Linked DNA regions of Caenorhabditis elegans. The protein of the gene in region 2 purifies or fractionates together with the protein of the main gene of each other region. This does not show direct contact. Each region holds a gene or a part of one and is shown on either strand. Other genes may lie near its edges.

Region 1 (8,192 bases), on a different chromosome or scaffold from region 2:
TTCTTGTGCTAAAACTTATCCTGCGTTTCAGAGGAAATAAGTTGTCCTTGTGACAGGTATGATATGCTTGGAAACTTCCAAAATTAGATTTGCTCACGCCATTCACCAGGAATAGTATCATTAAGGGTGGAACACAATTTCTCCCCAATTATTGAGCATCGATGTGTAACCAAACCTGAAAAAAATACCTTGCAAAACACTTCATTTGAGTAGTTTTCTATAACTTGTGAAATTTCAAAAAAAATTCCACTCCAAAAATTCTTGTAGAAAATGCAAAAAATCAAGGATGAAAAAACTTTCCTACCATTATTTATGTACATCAGAATATTTCTTTTCAGTGGAAATGCAACTCGCTACTATCCGTGCAACACATAACCATGTTCATATCCAGCTCAACGTACTTGTTGTATTCCATATGTCTCAATGGTTCTGAACGGAACAACTCAATGTGGACCACTAACAACAGCCGCTGAAACTGCTGCATCTGTTTCTAACTCAACATATAATTGTTGTCCAATTGGAGGAATTTGGAGCTCTTTTTCCAGTTACGGAAGAAATGATGGCGATACAATGTGGATTAGAACGCGAAGATGTTTATCAGAAAGTGCTGGTTGTAATTGTACAGGAAATAATACTGAATCTACAACAACTTGTCCGTGTAGAGCAATGACATCAATTGAATCAGGGTTAGAAAAACTTTCAATCAGTTTCACATGTGAAATGGGTTCTTTATACTGGAAATATGATTACAATGGAGATTATATTAACGGATGGTATCAAATGATTATTGTTTGAAATTTGATAAAAATTTGTGTTATTCTATTTTTAAAATCTCGAAACAAAAAATTTTCAAAGCATTTTGCACCTACAAATTAAAAAAAACTTTTTACCGTTTCCCATTGATGGTATAACACTTTTTTGAAATCACGCAACATTGGTATACGGAGCTTCAGTTGTGTTCGAGCTTTTACAGCCTTTCTGAGCCTTTGTAGAGTTTCCTGAAGTTATTCGCACGCAATACAAAGTTGACATTGGAGAATCAGACGGACGAGTTCTGAAAAACTTTAAGTTTTGAAAATTGTATTTTTGAAATTATTTGTCATCGTGCGAAGAATTTCAAACGGAAGACCTTTTTGATGCACAACCCTTTCAAGCCAATTAGCAAATTAATGAGAGTTGATAAATTTATAAATTCTCCAGATATGTGAAATGGATTCTTTATCACGTGGAGAATAGAAATTAAAAATAAAAGTCGTGAGCGAGTTAATCTTTGTATTCATCGACTTCGCGACAACATTGATACAATAATATTGTGAGAACAGTTTTTAAAGTAAAATTAGAAATTGGCGTGGAAATAAATTAAATTTTGGTGTTATTTCATATAAATATTATTTTATAAATACATTGTGAAAGTTCTACAATGATTTTTGGCACTTAATAAATAGTTTTAAACATTTTCCCCGTGGGCGCTATCACTATTTTAAATTTTCCCCGTTTCACATTAATCATATAAATTCATTTAAACTAACGCAACATTATCGTTTTGGTTCTAAATGAGAAACTATTTTCCAGTGTTAGAAGCCTTTTAAGCATTTCCTGACATCCGGGTACCAAAGTTTTAATAAATTTTTTCAATTAAACATTTAAAAAATTTTGCCGTTTCACGTCGACGATATGTATAAATCTGAAAACTTTGCTTATACGTTTAGATTTTTATTTTTTGCAAAAATTTTAGCTTTCAAAGAAATTTGAAATTGTTTGTATATTTTGAATTTATTCAAAAACTGGATTTATTGGGAAATATACAGTTTGTGAAATATTATAGCTTGGATCCTTGTGATCTCTTTTGCAAAAACTGAGCCAAATCGCAAACCCATCTTGGTTGTTCATTTGTATACTTCCGGAATTCTTCCATTATATGCTCGTACGCTCTGAAAATCAAATTTAAAGTTCAGCAGAAACCTTTACATTTTAAAACTGACTTTCCATCAGATGCTCCCAGAGCTGAATGTAAAATGAAATCATCTGGAGCAATCGAGTCCACTAAAGCAATGGCCTCGGGTTTTAATTCGGCTACAGCGAGTCTAAGCTTCTCTCGAAGATCTTCTCCAAACTTTCCACCAGAAGCATATCCAGTAATATAAAGAGTTGCAAGATGTCTTTCCAAAAGGAAAAGTGAGAAAAGATTCAAAACTTTTTGAAGAACCGGCTTCACACTTTGATCTTCAATTTCTTTCAAGAACTGTTGAACCCAATGGATCATTGTATGTTCTGTGTATGCAACAGACAAATTGACAGCTCTATGAATTTGAATTTCATTTCGAACTTCGAATGAATTCTTTCCAGATGCTTTTAGTCTGTAAGCTTCTGCCGAAGTTGTTTGAAGTAAGTGATAAGTGAGATATCGGTACGCAGACAACACGTCATTAACTGGATTCGAAGACCATGATGAGAACTTTGAAGGTTTTTGATTCAAGAATGACATAGTAGACATCGGGGTCTCAATGGATCCAATTGATTGAGCCTGAACATCAGAATCTCAATATGATTAAAGAATCTGACAATTAAGTTTACTTTTCCTAGCAAAATATTGCTGGTTTGTTGCAAAATCATAAAGTTTTCTCCTTCAAATGTTTGTGATGGATCGTTGTCATCTCGGAGGGTGTTCAATCGTGACATTTGTAGGTATCTGTAATTTAAATTTTAACTTTAATCTGGAAAAAATAGAAAGACGAATTCTCAAAAAATGAGTTTCTTAAAGTTAAGTTTCAGGTTATGTTAGGAAACATACCCATGACCTCCACAAGCTTTTCTAGCTTCTCCAAGGGATTCTACACCAAGCCACGTTGCAACCGGTTTAGCTCCAGACGACAATGCATGTACTTCTTTTGAGAACTCGGAGAGCTCGTCTGACTTTTCTCCCATTATGACTCTCATCATATATTCAGTGAAATGTCCGACAAACCTATAAAGTTTAACTAATTATTGAAAACAATTTGTTTAGAGTTCCCACTTCTTCTGGAATATTCTAATGCAAATTGCAGCGGATAGGTACGGGAATAGACGATACTGTTGAAGTGGATACTCGAGAACTGGGATCTCATTTTCAGCTGAATTATACAAAAGTTGAGAAATTGAGAAAAGGAATGGTGCTCACCGCCTTTTACTGGTCCAAACTGTCGCCGAGCAACACTGTATCGAATAGCAATTGTAGATGCAAAAGTGCAAGCCATCATTCCTTTTGCGATAATTCCGAGTCTGAAATTTGTGTTATTGTGAAACCATTGTTGGTAAAGTTTGAATTTTGAAACAGTATTTTGTTTGAAAAAAATCAATCGGAAAAACTTATAGATTGCACTGTTTTCCCAACTTTATGAATTCGTCTGCTTTTACAATTTCGAATTGTCCTAAGAATGCCATTTCCATTATTTCTATTTGTATTAAATACAATGGCTTCACTCTAGAAAATCAATTCATATTTTAAAAGTATCGATTAAAGCTGGAATAGATTCGTTTTGAGATTTTGCTTTTATTGATAATAAGGCTCGGCCGTGAAATTTGCATCTTGTATCTACTAAAACTGAGAAAAAAACAACACATTTAAAAAGTTGGTAAAACAGCGGCTAGAAATTCTTCAGAACCTGATTTTTTTAACAGAAATTCTTTTAGATACAAATTTCACTCAATTAAAAAATTTTTCTATACGGCCGGCGTCGTAAAGTATTGAAAACATACCTTCCAACTGACAATGTTCCCAAACTGACACTCTGCTTCTCACTTGCAGATTTGAAACTTGTCACATATTTTCCATCCGGAGTAATATCACAACCCTTATTCAAAAGTGCACTCAGAGGAGCTCTATGGTTCTTAAACTCCATCCAGCCATTTTCTACTCCCTGCCAGCATCCTGGTTTCGAGCCCATGTCTCCAATGGTAATTCCTGGTAGAGTTTGGAAAGTTCTAGGGCAACGAACTTGAATCACAAATCCATGAAATCCCTCGTTCTTTCCTTCGACATGAAGTTGAGCATAAACAACTACGTGAGTGGCCGAGTGAGCTAAAAAAATGGATTTTTTTAAATTTAAAATTAAAAATGTTTTAAAACCCACCGAGATTTCCAGCCCAACATTTGATTGCACTGACACTTGGAGTATTGAAAACAAGTTCTCCATTGTCAAATGTAGCTGTTGTTTGAATTTCAGCAGTGTTTGAACCATGGCCTACTTCTGTCAGACAAAATGCTCCGACGATCTGAAATTTGCTATTTTGCAAGGAAACCTAAACTTTCCAGATTTGAATACAATGCGCTTTTGTTTAAATTTCTTTAGAATAAATTATTTTCAAATTTGTTTTGATTTTTCTTTTTCTTGAGTACTTCTTAATTTTGTATGCTATTTTCTTTGAAATTCACCTCATTGTTTTCAGTTTTCTGAATCAAATCCTTATGTCTATCTGTTCCCATTGACTTAACAGCTGCTCCAAAAACATTTCCGTGGAGGAAAAGCCTTGCAGATGTGCCTTGATCATAAGCTTCAAGAGTTTCAGTCAATGCATGGAAGTTTTCAAGATCGGAGTACGGCTGAATATTCGAATATATTGAAAATCTACAATTTAATAAGAAATACATCTTTGAACAACCCCCATTCGACAATTTTCTTCCATCTCTGATGAACAACTTCTCTTTGCTCTTCTCTACTCAATACTCGATAATCTCTGTGAAATACTGGTTCTGACTTCATTTTAGCAACTACTTCTGACTGAAATATATATAAATATTTTATAAATCCAAAATCTACTATACCTTCAGTCTAACATGTTCTTCTCCTTCAACGGCTGCTTTCAATTTTTTCCAGTCGAAAGTTGCCATTTTCCGGTATTTGTCAATTAAAGGAGCACTCATTTTTGATCTGAAACTGAAAAATTTACTAAATAAATCCTTTAAATTCAAAAGATTCATTTTATTTTCAGCAGAATATATGTTAAAATAAACTGAACAAAATTAAGACAAAAGCAATTGCATATGTACTGGGTAGGAAGAGTGTAGTCTTATCAAAAACAAAGAAAATAGAAAGTAATTGAGAGACGCAGAGATCGAAGACAGTCTGACTACAGCGTGGTGGTATTGTATAAATAGGGGGAGGAATGGTCTTTTAAAATTATCGTAGTAGATTGTAATTAGCTGGTGTTTGTAAAAAGGGTCAGAGGAAATTAACTGAAATTTTACAGAAAATTCATGTTTCCTTGTTTTAAAGTGGGCTCGGAGAGAGAATGTGGACAAGTAAATAGTTTAAAACAACGTAGTGGATAATAAAAAATTTAGTATTATTTCCATAAGTGTAAAACATGTTTTTAAATAAAAATACGCTAAAAAATTTCTAAATACAGTTTTGGCGAAAGTGGGGGTAACACATTTCCAGGAGCGTACTGGTCAAAATAAAAATTAAATTAAATTAAAATTAAATTAAAAATTATTAGCACTTTAACTTCAATATTTCATACTTTTACAATATTTTCCAACATTTTTGCAGTTTAGACTTTGATGTAAACATTTTTAGCGGTTTCATAGTTTTCCCGAAATCAATTTTGGCTGAACTACCAAAACTTGAAATTACTGATAATAATAATAGGTTTGCTCTGACTTGAGCAATTATATTAGGTGTCCGATAAAACCTACTCATCAATTTTGTGGAATTTGGAAAAAAATGTGATTGCCAACTTTGTGATTTTGTTGAAAACCTCAATAGAGAGTTTGCTTTTTCTTCGAATTACTAGATGCGTTTCACTATTTTATAAGTTAAAATAAGTGGAACCACAAAGTTCAGGCAATATTTTTCTATCATTACTAACATTAACAAGAAGAGATTAGTTTAATTCATGATCAAGACTGTTTTTACGAGATCTTTTTTTCAGCTGAAGTTTCAATATCAAAACAGAGAAAATGCCTCTGTTCATATAGTATTCGTGAAACAGCATAATAATTTTTTTGTTTAATTTAAATTTGAACACAAGAGTTGGCCAATTGAAGCATGATTGAAATACAATTAAAACTATTTATTTTCCATCTTTTTTCATAATTTCATAATCTTATTTCCCTCTTCTCAAACAAGTCTTTCGTTTCATGATCTTGGCATAAAGAAGAGCTTGAAAACATTTCTAATCCTTTTTTCCTTTTTTGCTAATCTCTCAAAACCTCCTACATTTCAATAATCTCTAGCTCTAACGTCACACATTCTGAGCTTTTGAGAGAGTCAGAGAAGCCACAAACCCGCCCATTTTCTGAAGAAGAAATCACTCATTCTGCCTTCTTCGACTGCTTGGTGGCGGTCCTATCTTCTTTTATGCAATATATCATACTATGTTATTTTTCTGTTATTTTATTGCTTAAACATCAAGCAATTAGAGTAAGTTAGTAGTATAGTGGGAATAGTTGTGCAAAAGACTTAAAGTTGCGCATTTTTGCAAATTTCTCGGTTGGTCCCCCGTTTTAGAATAATTGAGGAATTTCACTGAAAACCGTGTGTGCCTATTAATTATTGCTTCATGTGTGCCAATGTTGCGAATAAGTTTCTGGCATTAATTAGTGTATAAAACGTTGAAATGTGTGGATCGTAAAGTTGTGCATTGAAAACGGGGATCCGAGTTGTGACCGGAAAACTAGTCGATCTGAAATTTCACACTACACATTAATTCACAATTAGCTTTTCACAACTCGTCAAACTATGCGTACAAGAGCTATTTTGAACACGTTTTAATGTACGGGAAGGAAATTCAAAACTCCACTCTAACCGCGGCCGGTTTCTATCATGACCCTGTGATTGGCGACCACCGTAGTCCTGGGTTTCAACAGCGTTGTGCCTCAATTTACAACCAGGACGAAATACAAGTTGCGGCAAACATTTCGATTGACTTGATGAATCAGCCGCGAGTGCTCTTGAACGGTTGTAATGTGAAACTTACAGTTTACCCAAATGATAGTAAATTTTTGATTGAGGTTTACAATCGCGACAACAACACAGAGTTTCAGTTCAAAATAACCGACGTTTACGCTCTGGTTAACGAATTCGATCTTGCCGACGGTCTATCTAATGCTCTAGAGAGCTCCATTATTGAGCACAAAATAATCCAATATCCTCTAATATCTTCACAGGTGCGCAGTTTCTATATAGAGTCTGGACGTCTTGACGCGCCGGCTAACACACTCTTCACAAGCAAGATGCCCCGTCGAATTTTCATTGGTCTTGTTGATTCTGACGCGTACAATGGCTCTTATGATAAATCACCATTCAATTTCAAACCACATGGTATATCTGATATACATGTTGATTATTGTGGAATGACACTCCCCGGCCGCCCTTTTGCCTTAGATTTTGACAGAAACAAGTTTATGGAGGCATACATTCAACTTCAAGAAACCCTCGGTCACTCGCGAAGCAATTCCACATGTAATTCTATTAGCACCCAAATGTTTAAAGAAGGCGGATATACGATTTTTGGTTTTGAATTGAGTCCCGTTGCTCAGGACACTTCACTATTTGAGTTGGTGCGACAGACAAACGTCAGCATTCGTTTAAATTTCCGAGAAAAGGTTCCCGTCGGCGGTCTTTACTGCATAGTATATGCAGAATTTGACCAAATTTTCTCACTTGATTTTATGAGAAATCCGATTGTCGACACTATAGTTTAATTATAATTAGATTCTTCGTATTTGGCATGTTTTCCTCATTACCGTTATTGTTGCGTTCCGTACCATTCAGGCGTGAAAAGATGTTTTGGCTTTCAGTACCAATCAAGCGTGAATATAAAACGTGCTATAAGTTGTTATGGAGCTCATCACACACACACACACACACACACACACACACACACACACACACACACACAGGCAGAAACAAACAAGACCACTACCTCGAAGTTTAAAAAAGAGTGCATACACGAAAAGGGTTGCATTTCTGGAAACATACACACTTTCTTGTATAGCCTGCCTCCTCCACTTTTCAGTTGTCTTTTCGAATAGCCACAATTTTCCCTTATGTGCACCGCATTTACAAACTGCCTGTCATTTTAGATTTTTGTCACGATCGGGAGTGGTGCGCGCAATGAATCCTCTGTATTCGGACCCCCGCCCCGCCGTGGTCCCGCAACCGGACTTGTACGGTCGCTATCACTGGTCTCAATTAACACCGTCCCCACCA
Region 2 (8,556 bases):
CGCCCCACACTCCCGCCGCCCTCAAGCCATGGCGCGAGGTGGTCCCGCGTAGCGTCGGCCGCAGTACACAGTGCGGACGCACGGGCGTGCGGGAGTAGGGCAAGCGTGATGTGCTCTCTTCGCGCCTTGCCTTTGTGGAAGGCCTACACAGTAAACCAAATTCGAGAGCAATATTGTGCAAGCCTATTAAAGGCTGAAATGTTTATGGAAAACAAACACGGCATTGGCATGTTGCCAGATCAGATCGTACTTCGTGGTTTTGAGGATTACAGGATCAAAGGTTGAACTGTTCTTCAAGCGCTATGCACGGCGGAGCAGTGATTCAGGTACACTGTATGGTTGTGCTCCTACTGAACCATGATTTAAGCCACGTCCAAGCGGGGACTGTGACCAATAATCCAGTCGTGGATAGCTCCCCTTCTCAATAGAAACTGGGTGGACCTATGGGGGTGAGACCGGGCTTGAACTCGTGACCTCCAGATTGCTAGCGACCACCACTACCGACTGAGCCATCCCACCCCACACCCCATTTCTAGATCAGTCGTACTTTGTGGTTAATTTTCAAATTTCTAGTGTATAAAAAATTTAGATGAGTTCTTTGCAAATTCGAAATTTCAAATTTTAACAACTAAAATATTGAAAATAACTTTGGCACAAGCTGGTGTAGAGTTTGAGATTCAAATATTTTGAACTTTTTACAACTTAGAATTGTTCCATTTTAAATTAATGTTCTTAAAAATGTTTAAAGCGAAGCAAGTTGGCAAATACCATAATAAATGATTAAAAGTTTTAAAGTTTTTTATTTATTGTCAAAAAATGGAAAAACACTCATTTTTACCATATGTCTACACTTATCATATATCATTACCATATACTATTTAAAACCATATTACCAAATACCATATACCATGTACCATATACCGTATACCGTATACCATATACCATATACCATATACCATATATCATATACCATATACCATATGCCATATAGTATATACCATTTACCATATACCATATACCATATGGCAGATACCATATATCATATCTATCTGTCAGTTTACTAAAATATAGACCGAAACCTTTGAGAAATCTAAAAATTTTTGGATTATTTTAGTATGATATTTGGTTATGTTAAACTATAATGAACACATTTTGACCAAATCCCCTTTGACGATAGTCCATCTTGAAATTTGAAAATCTTTTTAAAATGCTCTTATAGTTATTTCTAATCTTTCTAAATCATAGGTTTCTTAATTGCCGAATTATGCTAGAAACGAGGATCAAAACACTGCAACTCATCCTATCTAATTTTTTTCCTGATCAAAATTTGATCAACTAACAAAACATTAATAGACTGATGAATATATTTTTGAGTGTGAAATTCAAATTTCTCTAAATACTTGGGAAAAAATAAAATCCAAGGAGATAGACAGTAGAATGAAAAATTTTGACACGCGATATCAATCTTAAATATGTATGATTCAGAGTACAATAATTTATAAGAATTGGCACCCAAAATATTTAGAAAAAACTACAAAAAAAAAGCTTAAACTAAGAAAGTCAAATAAATCACTAAAAAATTGATAATATAAGAAGAATGAGGATAAGATTATCGGAAAATAATAATTCGAAAAAGTAATCCTTTAAAGAAAATGCACACAAGTCTAAGCCGCCACCCACATCCAGAGCACTTATTTGCTCAATAATTTTATTAGTTCCGCCCATCTGAGCTAGAATGAAAAAAAAGAAAATGTGGAATGAGAATGCATTCTTATTATTATTATACAGCAACAAAAAAAGGAGTGATGTTGTTAGGACGGGGTGGGAGGTGATGACAAATGCGCGCACATTATTTTGTGTCACCTGAAAAAAGGTTTCCATTTTCTTGTGCCCTCGGCATACTTTGTACACACTCGCCTCTCTTTCGCAATAATGAAATTCGAAATATGATAACGAGGGGGGTATTATGCAAATCAAAAAACATAGCGAGTCGAAAATTTTCATATGAATATAGACAATTTTGATACAAACACACATATCGAATATAAATATATCATAAAATTATTAAGCATGAGGGGTCATGTATTGACTACAGTCCTGGCTGTTCTTAGGTGTTCGGATGAAGGGGCAAGCCTGAAAAATGTTCCTATTTGAGATAAGGTAGTATTATGGAATAAAAAACAAAATTCCAGATTTTTGTTTTCAGTTCCAAACTGCTAAAGATAAGTTCCAATAAAGAAATAATGGTTTTTTCTTTATACTGTGAACTTAGGCCTGTAGATTTTGGTTTGATCTATGTTATCTCATTATAGTTGCACGTGGTGTCAGAATGTCGCATTTCGTTGTGATCTACAAAAAGTGCGGGATATTAGGAGCAGACTCCTCAATTAACTTTGCATAGTTAAAAACGTGCTGACGTCACATTTTTTGAGGAAAAAATTCCCGCATTTTTTTGTAGATCAAACCTTTATGGAACAACCTGACACCACGCGCAGTTGTGGAATTTGCAGCCGACATAAATCGAAGTTTGCGGTGGACAACTTTCTGACAGAATATTTTATGTTGCTTTTTGTTACCCACCTCCGAGTGTACTACTACTATTTTTCATAACTAACACTCAGTACTGTAGGATTACGCCTGGTTAGTTATTTTTCAAAACTTCGGAAAAATCCGTCTTTGATGCAAAAAACAATCAAAAAAGTTTAGACCTTCAAAAACCTTTTTTCCTTACTAATACATATGTGATGGTTCCCTTGATAACTGAACTTACCGCATCTGGGCAGGCCAATGTCTGAAGTGGCACTGACATGTTTGAAACTGTAGATTTTGAGCCAACTGGCTGTAAAATGTTATTCCAAAGATAAGTGCTCACAAGAGCATGTCCCCATTGTGAGAAATGGAAGCAATCCGGTGCGAAGAACTTTTGAGTTGGTTTTCCATTCTGAACAGTTTGTATGTTTGTATTTTGCTATGTTTGCAAGCATGACAAAATTTTTGCATCACGTCATGGTTTTGAAAAGTTTCGAAAAAAGTGTCGAAACATTCAAATATCGATCACTCACTTCCATTGGGGGAATCAAAGTATCTTGGAACATTGGTTGAACCACATATGTGAAGTCGTTTTTCTCAAAAGTTCCGTCGGTCTCAATTTGTTTTTCGTACTTGTTATAATCATAGCAAGCCTGCAACAAGCTCTTTATAAAAAGTTTAAATTATTTTTAATAATTATCGAAGCTTTGGAAGCTTAAAATCCCACTCCCCACCCACCTGTCTGATATCAGCATCGGTGAAGTTCTTATTGCTCTCGCAGCCGCACTCGTCACTGCAAAAACGGTATGTATTATTTTTGTGTCAATAAATAGGGTTTTGCAACATACTGATGCAAACGTTGACAGAACCAGTGGCCGGTATCAGTTTGGCGCAGCATCTCGAGATGCAACATTCCTGTGAGGGAAACAATGACACGTGGAACATTATCGTAAATTATTTGCACGGCTTGTTTGATGTCCTGCGCGCAGTTGTATGGGGAATCCTCCTGGAATTAGAAACAAATATTTAGATGGGATAGAGAGTAGTACCTAATCAACAGGATTAGGGCCTTAAAGCTACGTTTACGTTATTTTATATGCATTGCATTTCGAAGTATGAATTGCTTATTTATGCAACGTGTGATATAATTCTTACGTTTTTTAGATCAAAAATGAATATTATCTTTTCCCAAAAAAAAACATTTCAAAATTTTTGCAGTCAAAATTTCGAAAAAAAGAGCCAAATTTGGCTAAAATCTGAAATTTCGCACACTTTTCTTTGTCACAGCTGCTGGATTTTAGTTTTTCTGCAGTTATCACTTTTTTAATCTTTATTTTGGTAATTTATCTCGTGGATATTCGATGATTGAGACAACTTTTAGGCCGATAGGCATCCAAAAATGATCAAAATTGGCAAAATTTGGCTCTTTTTTTCGAAATTTTGAGCGGCCATAAAAAAATTTTGGAAATGTTTTGTGAAGTCTCATTATGAAATTCGGCGATTTTGAATCAGTTTTAGTCTATTCAACCTAAATACCACAAACTCTACGCCCCCTTTGATTGATATTCCTGAGAACAAAATCATAAAACAAGTATGATTTACACACCAAGAACGGCATAATCGACAATCATATGTTGAAACAAACTGTATAGAACTCAGAATTACGACTGCTACAAAATTAGCATTTATGATGTAATGGCGTAAATGTTTTGCTCTTTGAGCATTGAAATTTTTAATTTTATGGTATCCACAATAAAGACATATCTTATTTGATCTGCGTCTGATCCAATTAGGGCTCCCATGTCGGCATCAAAAACCGCCGATCCGAAATTTTTATAGCAATGCGCGGAACACAAAAAGAGTCGACAGCGGAGCTAAGTTTGCTGCAAATAGTGCGATAGAGTGTGGCAATATTTGGTGCAAATTTTGCTCCGCGTCCGACACTTTTTGGGTTTAGCGCATTCGTTTGTGGCGCCGACATGGGAGCCCTAGATTTAATCGAAAATAATTCCTACTACCCATCATCAATAAAACCTAATAACCTCACCACTGGTTTTCTGCAATAACCACAAATGTCATTTCCTCCAATGAAAATGTTCAACAACTTCCAATCCTCCTTCATGTTTACAACCTTAAATGGAATTTTTTTGACTGAAAAGCAAAAAAGCTCTTGACCAACCTCTGTATGCTGCTGGAGAAGTTGTACCAATTGCCGGGCCTGTCCTGGAAGATCCTTCGCGTTAGCTCCTGGCATGGCAACATTGAGACGAGCAATTTCCCAGACATTTGGAGACCCGATTCCATTAGAATATCCAAACACGTCTGGATTGTATTTTTTGAGAATATCTGGAATAGATTAGCAAATTTTTGGAAAATTAAAAAAATGCCAATTACTTGGAATAGTGACGTGTTCTTCTAATGTCTTGTCACCTCCGGCTTGGAATGCAAGACCACGATATTGCAGAACGACTGCTACCGGATCCTCGGCACCAGCTCCATTTGCGGCCTAAATATTGATTCCATTTTCAGGAAAAGTGCCCATGAAATTGAGTAATTAAGTATGTAAAGTACGAGTAAACTAAAAAAATTAGTAAACTATACTAATTTGGAATTGCCTGAAAACTACCAAGCCGCCAGAAGAAGGTTGGCCAAGAAAAAGTGGCAACGTTTTTTGTTAGCTATAAACGCTATGGGAATCTGAAAAAAACTCTAAAAAATTGACCGTGTTTTTTCTCATGATATGAATGGTATGGAACACTACAATACTTTCTTCAACTTATAAGAGTCGATTTTGAGCAAATTAGACAAATTTTGAACGTAAGTAGAAGGATTTGAACTTTTATAATCATATATTTCTCGAGCTAGAATATTTGGTTGGGACTTGGTTAAAAAATTTTCTTTTAGATGATCTACGCCAGGTGTTTCTATTTCCAGAACGTATCTTGTTTCAACTTTGAAGAACAACTTTTTTCGAACTCTTTGCACTTTCTAAGTTATTCTCAAGCATCCACCTCCTTACAGCTTATCCTAATTTGAAATTCTTAACCTGACTAGAAAAAAGACCACCTACCGTCAGAGAATCTCCTAGTGCCATGATCAGCTTGATATCTGCTGGTCGTACGGAGTTCACATTTGTTGGCACTTTTTTACTCTTTTTCATTACATTTGCATCACAGCTATATCCGGGTATACCGAAATCCGGTAAAGTAGCAAGAACATATAAGAAAATGCAAGAAAACACTGAAAATTCCTGTTAGAAATCTACAAAAAAAACGATTTTATCTCACCGAAAACTCTCCTCCACATGTTTGCACAAGTATCAACTCAATTGCCGAAACTAACTGAAGATGATCCCTTATCAAGATCTGATCGTTGCCCGTGGCCATTTAATTCTTATCAGTTGATGTCCCCACGTGTTGAGCAGGAAGCGCGGAAACGGTATTCTTCGTCATTTCTTGTGGTTTCTAGTCGATCTGATATTCATTACAAGGAAGTTTGCGACACGTGATTTTTTCTGGAAAAAAAATTGAGGAGGTCTGAGAAAATTACTCTATTATTTGATATTACCTTGCATGGAAGACTAATTTTTTAGTAACCGTTAGCTTAGGAAATACTATTGATCACCGGCACCCTAGATTCCAAAAATTTTGAAAAAAAACTAAAGCACAATGTTTTGACGATGTGTACATTTTTTCTGGGTTTACTGGATGTAATCGATTCTATAAACAAAGTAATTTACTTAACAAGATCTCCATTTAATTTCACTAATATAGTTTCAGAGGCTGTGGAAATTTTTGCTCAATTTGTCCCAAAACCTCAAAAACCAAAACTCAATATTCTCAGACAACCCCATTTTTTATCTAATTAGAAATTATCCACATCCAATAAGAAATTAGCCACATCTAATTAGAAATATGCATATGAAAATTTTCAAAACGGTTCTATGTTTCGAAGAAACAAAATTTCAGAAAAAAAGTTGTATGCGTTAAAAATGCTTGGGTTGGCAATGGCTCGCCGAAAATAATTTTCAATTTAATGAACATGTTCTCTTAACTTTTGTCACATCAACATATTTTAAAATTCAATACTTTCGCTGAAAAAAAATTGAAAAAAATTTTATACGTCTTATTACGAACATTTGCATTTTGGGTCATTTTATCCCTCATAAAGTAATAACCCGAATTACCTCATATAATTTTTGCTGATTTTGGAAAACAAATGCTGTAATGTGTAGGATGTTTTAGTAGGTTTAGTTTCAAGATATTAAAATTGAAAAAATATTGAATTTGAATTTTCTGTGTTGAATTTTCTGTGTTGTGTGTATCTGTGTTGTTTGAATTTTGACAATCTTACCCATTTTTCACAAATCTGAAGTACTTTTCATTATTGGATTCCGGCTTAGTAAGTTTCTCTCAAAATGAATTTTCAACTTCAGCATGAAAAATATGGTCTCCAAATTCATTACCAAATATGTACAATTTCAAACGTTGCTGAATTCTGATCGTTTTTTGTCTTATCTTGACGTCCATCATTTGCAGAATTCACCGACCTCTGATCAATTAGTTTTTTTGCACATGTGAAATTGGGCGTCGAGCAGAAAATGTTACTGTAATTTTTTCAGCGAATCAACGACAAAAAGAAACCAAGAGTAATAACCGATCATTAATCAAGAATGATTTTACAAACGTCTAAAAATTGTAAGATTTGTTCGACATGTTATCTAGAAAATTAGAAAACTTATCTGAAGCTAGAATATTTTTTTAATACTTTCAGAAAACAAGTATTTGTGCTCATAAAGTTTGCTTCAACTCTGCACTGTTAAAATTATATAAGAATTTAGGAAGACTAAGATGGTTGTTGCAGAACCGGAGGTGTTCAAACATACTTCATTGAATGACTTTTTTTTCAAAAATTGTTATGTGAACAATTGCCGTAATTTTTCCGCCTGTTAATTACATAGTACATAAAAATTTATATTTTCAATATACTGTCTAGTTTTTTTTTGTTTTTTTTTAAAGTTTTCTTAAAAGTTTTCGAAATTTTCAGATTTTTAACGTATTTTGTTATGAAAAATCCGGTGAATGATTTTTTATTTAATTGTTAACTCTTGAAAAAAATTGAGCCATTATTCCTCACTCTAAATAATTACACATTTGCTGTAAACGCACAATTCACACATCGCCAAGAAAACCGAAAATAGTACACTTACTGCAACATGCAATTGGTCACAGTGCGTGCACAAATTTTGACATTCAAGCAAGTTGCCCTGCCCTCAATATAGATCTGTACAATACGCCTTCTGAAATATTATGCGCACATCACTAATTGTTTTCATACTGAAAAAATTGCAATTACCTATTAACACTTGAAATAAACAATCGAAAAACCGCATTTTTAGAATTTACTATCACGACTAGCGTGTCGTACCGTATACCATTTACAATATGGATTTTTTGAGTTTCACGTAAATCCTCAACAAGGAAGTTTTTCTGCCCAACCATCTGAAAATTATCATCAAAATCAAACGATCAAAAAATTACACGTACAATTGAAGAGGTAACAAATAGTTTGCAACGCATGCTACAGATAGGGTGGAAATGTTCCGTTATCTGATTTACATGCAATTTCTACTTTGGTGCATTAATAAGTTACAGTATTAAATGTTTGAACTTTTTCAACCAACAAGGAATTTGTGGAAATGTGAACATTACTTGAATGTGTTAAACTAATTATAAAAAGTATTTTGCCAGTAGACTTTGGAATTCAAAATATTTTAAATAAAGGGGTTTTTTTACTTAAAATATGCTCATGACTCCGATCTAAAAGTATAAAAAAGTTACCGGAGTATTTTTGCGCGTGTTTCAGTTGTATATCTGATATGTGAATGAATGAAAAAAAGTCAAAACAAATCAAAATAAAAAGTGTGTACAAAGGTTTGTTTTCGGAAAATGTCACCACGAACATTTTAGCGGCGTAAGTCAAGTCAGAATCCCGGAAAACTCGGTTTAAAATATGTTCAGTTCAATT

The links. Proteins that work in one complex are often made in the same cells at the same time.
Region 1: the proteins of F09C8.1 (region 2) and acox-3 fractionate together in Caenorhabditis elegans (co-fractionation; one large-scale study listed by BioGRID). This does not show direct contact.

What each region holds. Positions count from the first base shown.
Region 1 is NC_003282.8:6,243,580-6,251,771, forward strand, and holds acox-3 (Acyl-coenzyme A oxidase acox-3), read right to left. Parts: upstream 4,914-8,192; 5' UTR 4,901-4,913; coding exon 4,802-4,900; intron 4,758-4,801; coding exon 4,626-4,757; intron 4,580-4,625; coding exon 4,412-4,579; intron 4,252-4,411; coding exon 4,110-4,251; intron 4,058-4,109; coding exon 3,736-4,057; intron 3,575-3,735; exon of another isoform or gene 3,554-3,574; intron 3,425-3,553; exon of another isoform or gene 3,403-3,424; intron 3,259-3,402; coding exon 3,158-3,258; intron 3,111-3,157; coding exon 3,014-3,110; intron 2,966-3,013; coding exon 2,792-2,965; intron 2,690-2,791; coding exon 2,575-2,689; intron 2,525-2,574; coding exon 1,983-2,524; intron 1,932-1,982; coding exon 1,820-1,931; 3' UTR 1,779-1,819; downstream 1-1,778. Other genes in the region: F58F9.1 (uncharacterized protein), read left to right, coding at 8,097-8,192. UniProt on the Caenorhabditis elegans protein: Involved in the first step of peroxisomal beta-oxidation by catalyzing the desaturation of fatty acid-derived side chains of ascaroside pheromones, which regulates development and behavior.
Region 2 is NC_003284.9:16,157,663-16,166,218, forward strand, and holds F09C8.1 (Triacylglycerol lipase), read right to left. Parts: upstream 5,863-8,556; 5' UTR 5,836-5,862; coding exon 5,817-5,835; intron 5,770-5,816; coding exon 5,600-5,769; intron 5,036-5,599; coding exon 4,924-5,035; intron 4,876-4,923; coding exon 4,709-4,875; intron 4,661-4,708; coding exon 4,577-4,660; intron 3,536-4,576; coding exon 3,378-3,535; intron 3,323-3,377; coding exon 3,268-3,322; intron 3,183-3,267; coding exon 3,063-3,182; intron 2,942-3,062; coding exon 2,771-2,941; intron 2,134-2,770; coding exon 2,065-2,133; 3' UTR 1,986-2,064; downstream 1-1,985.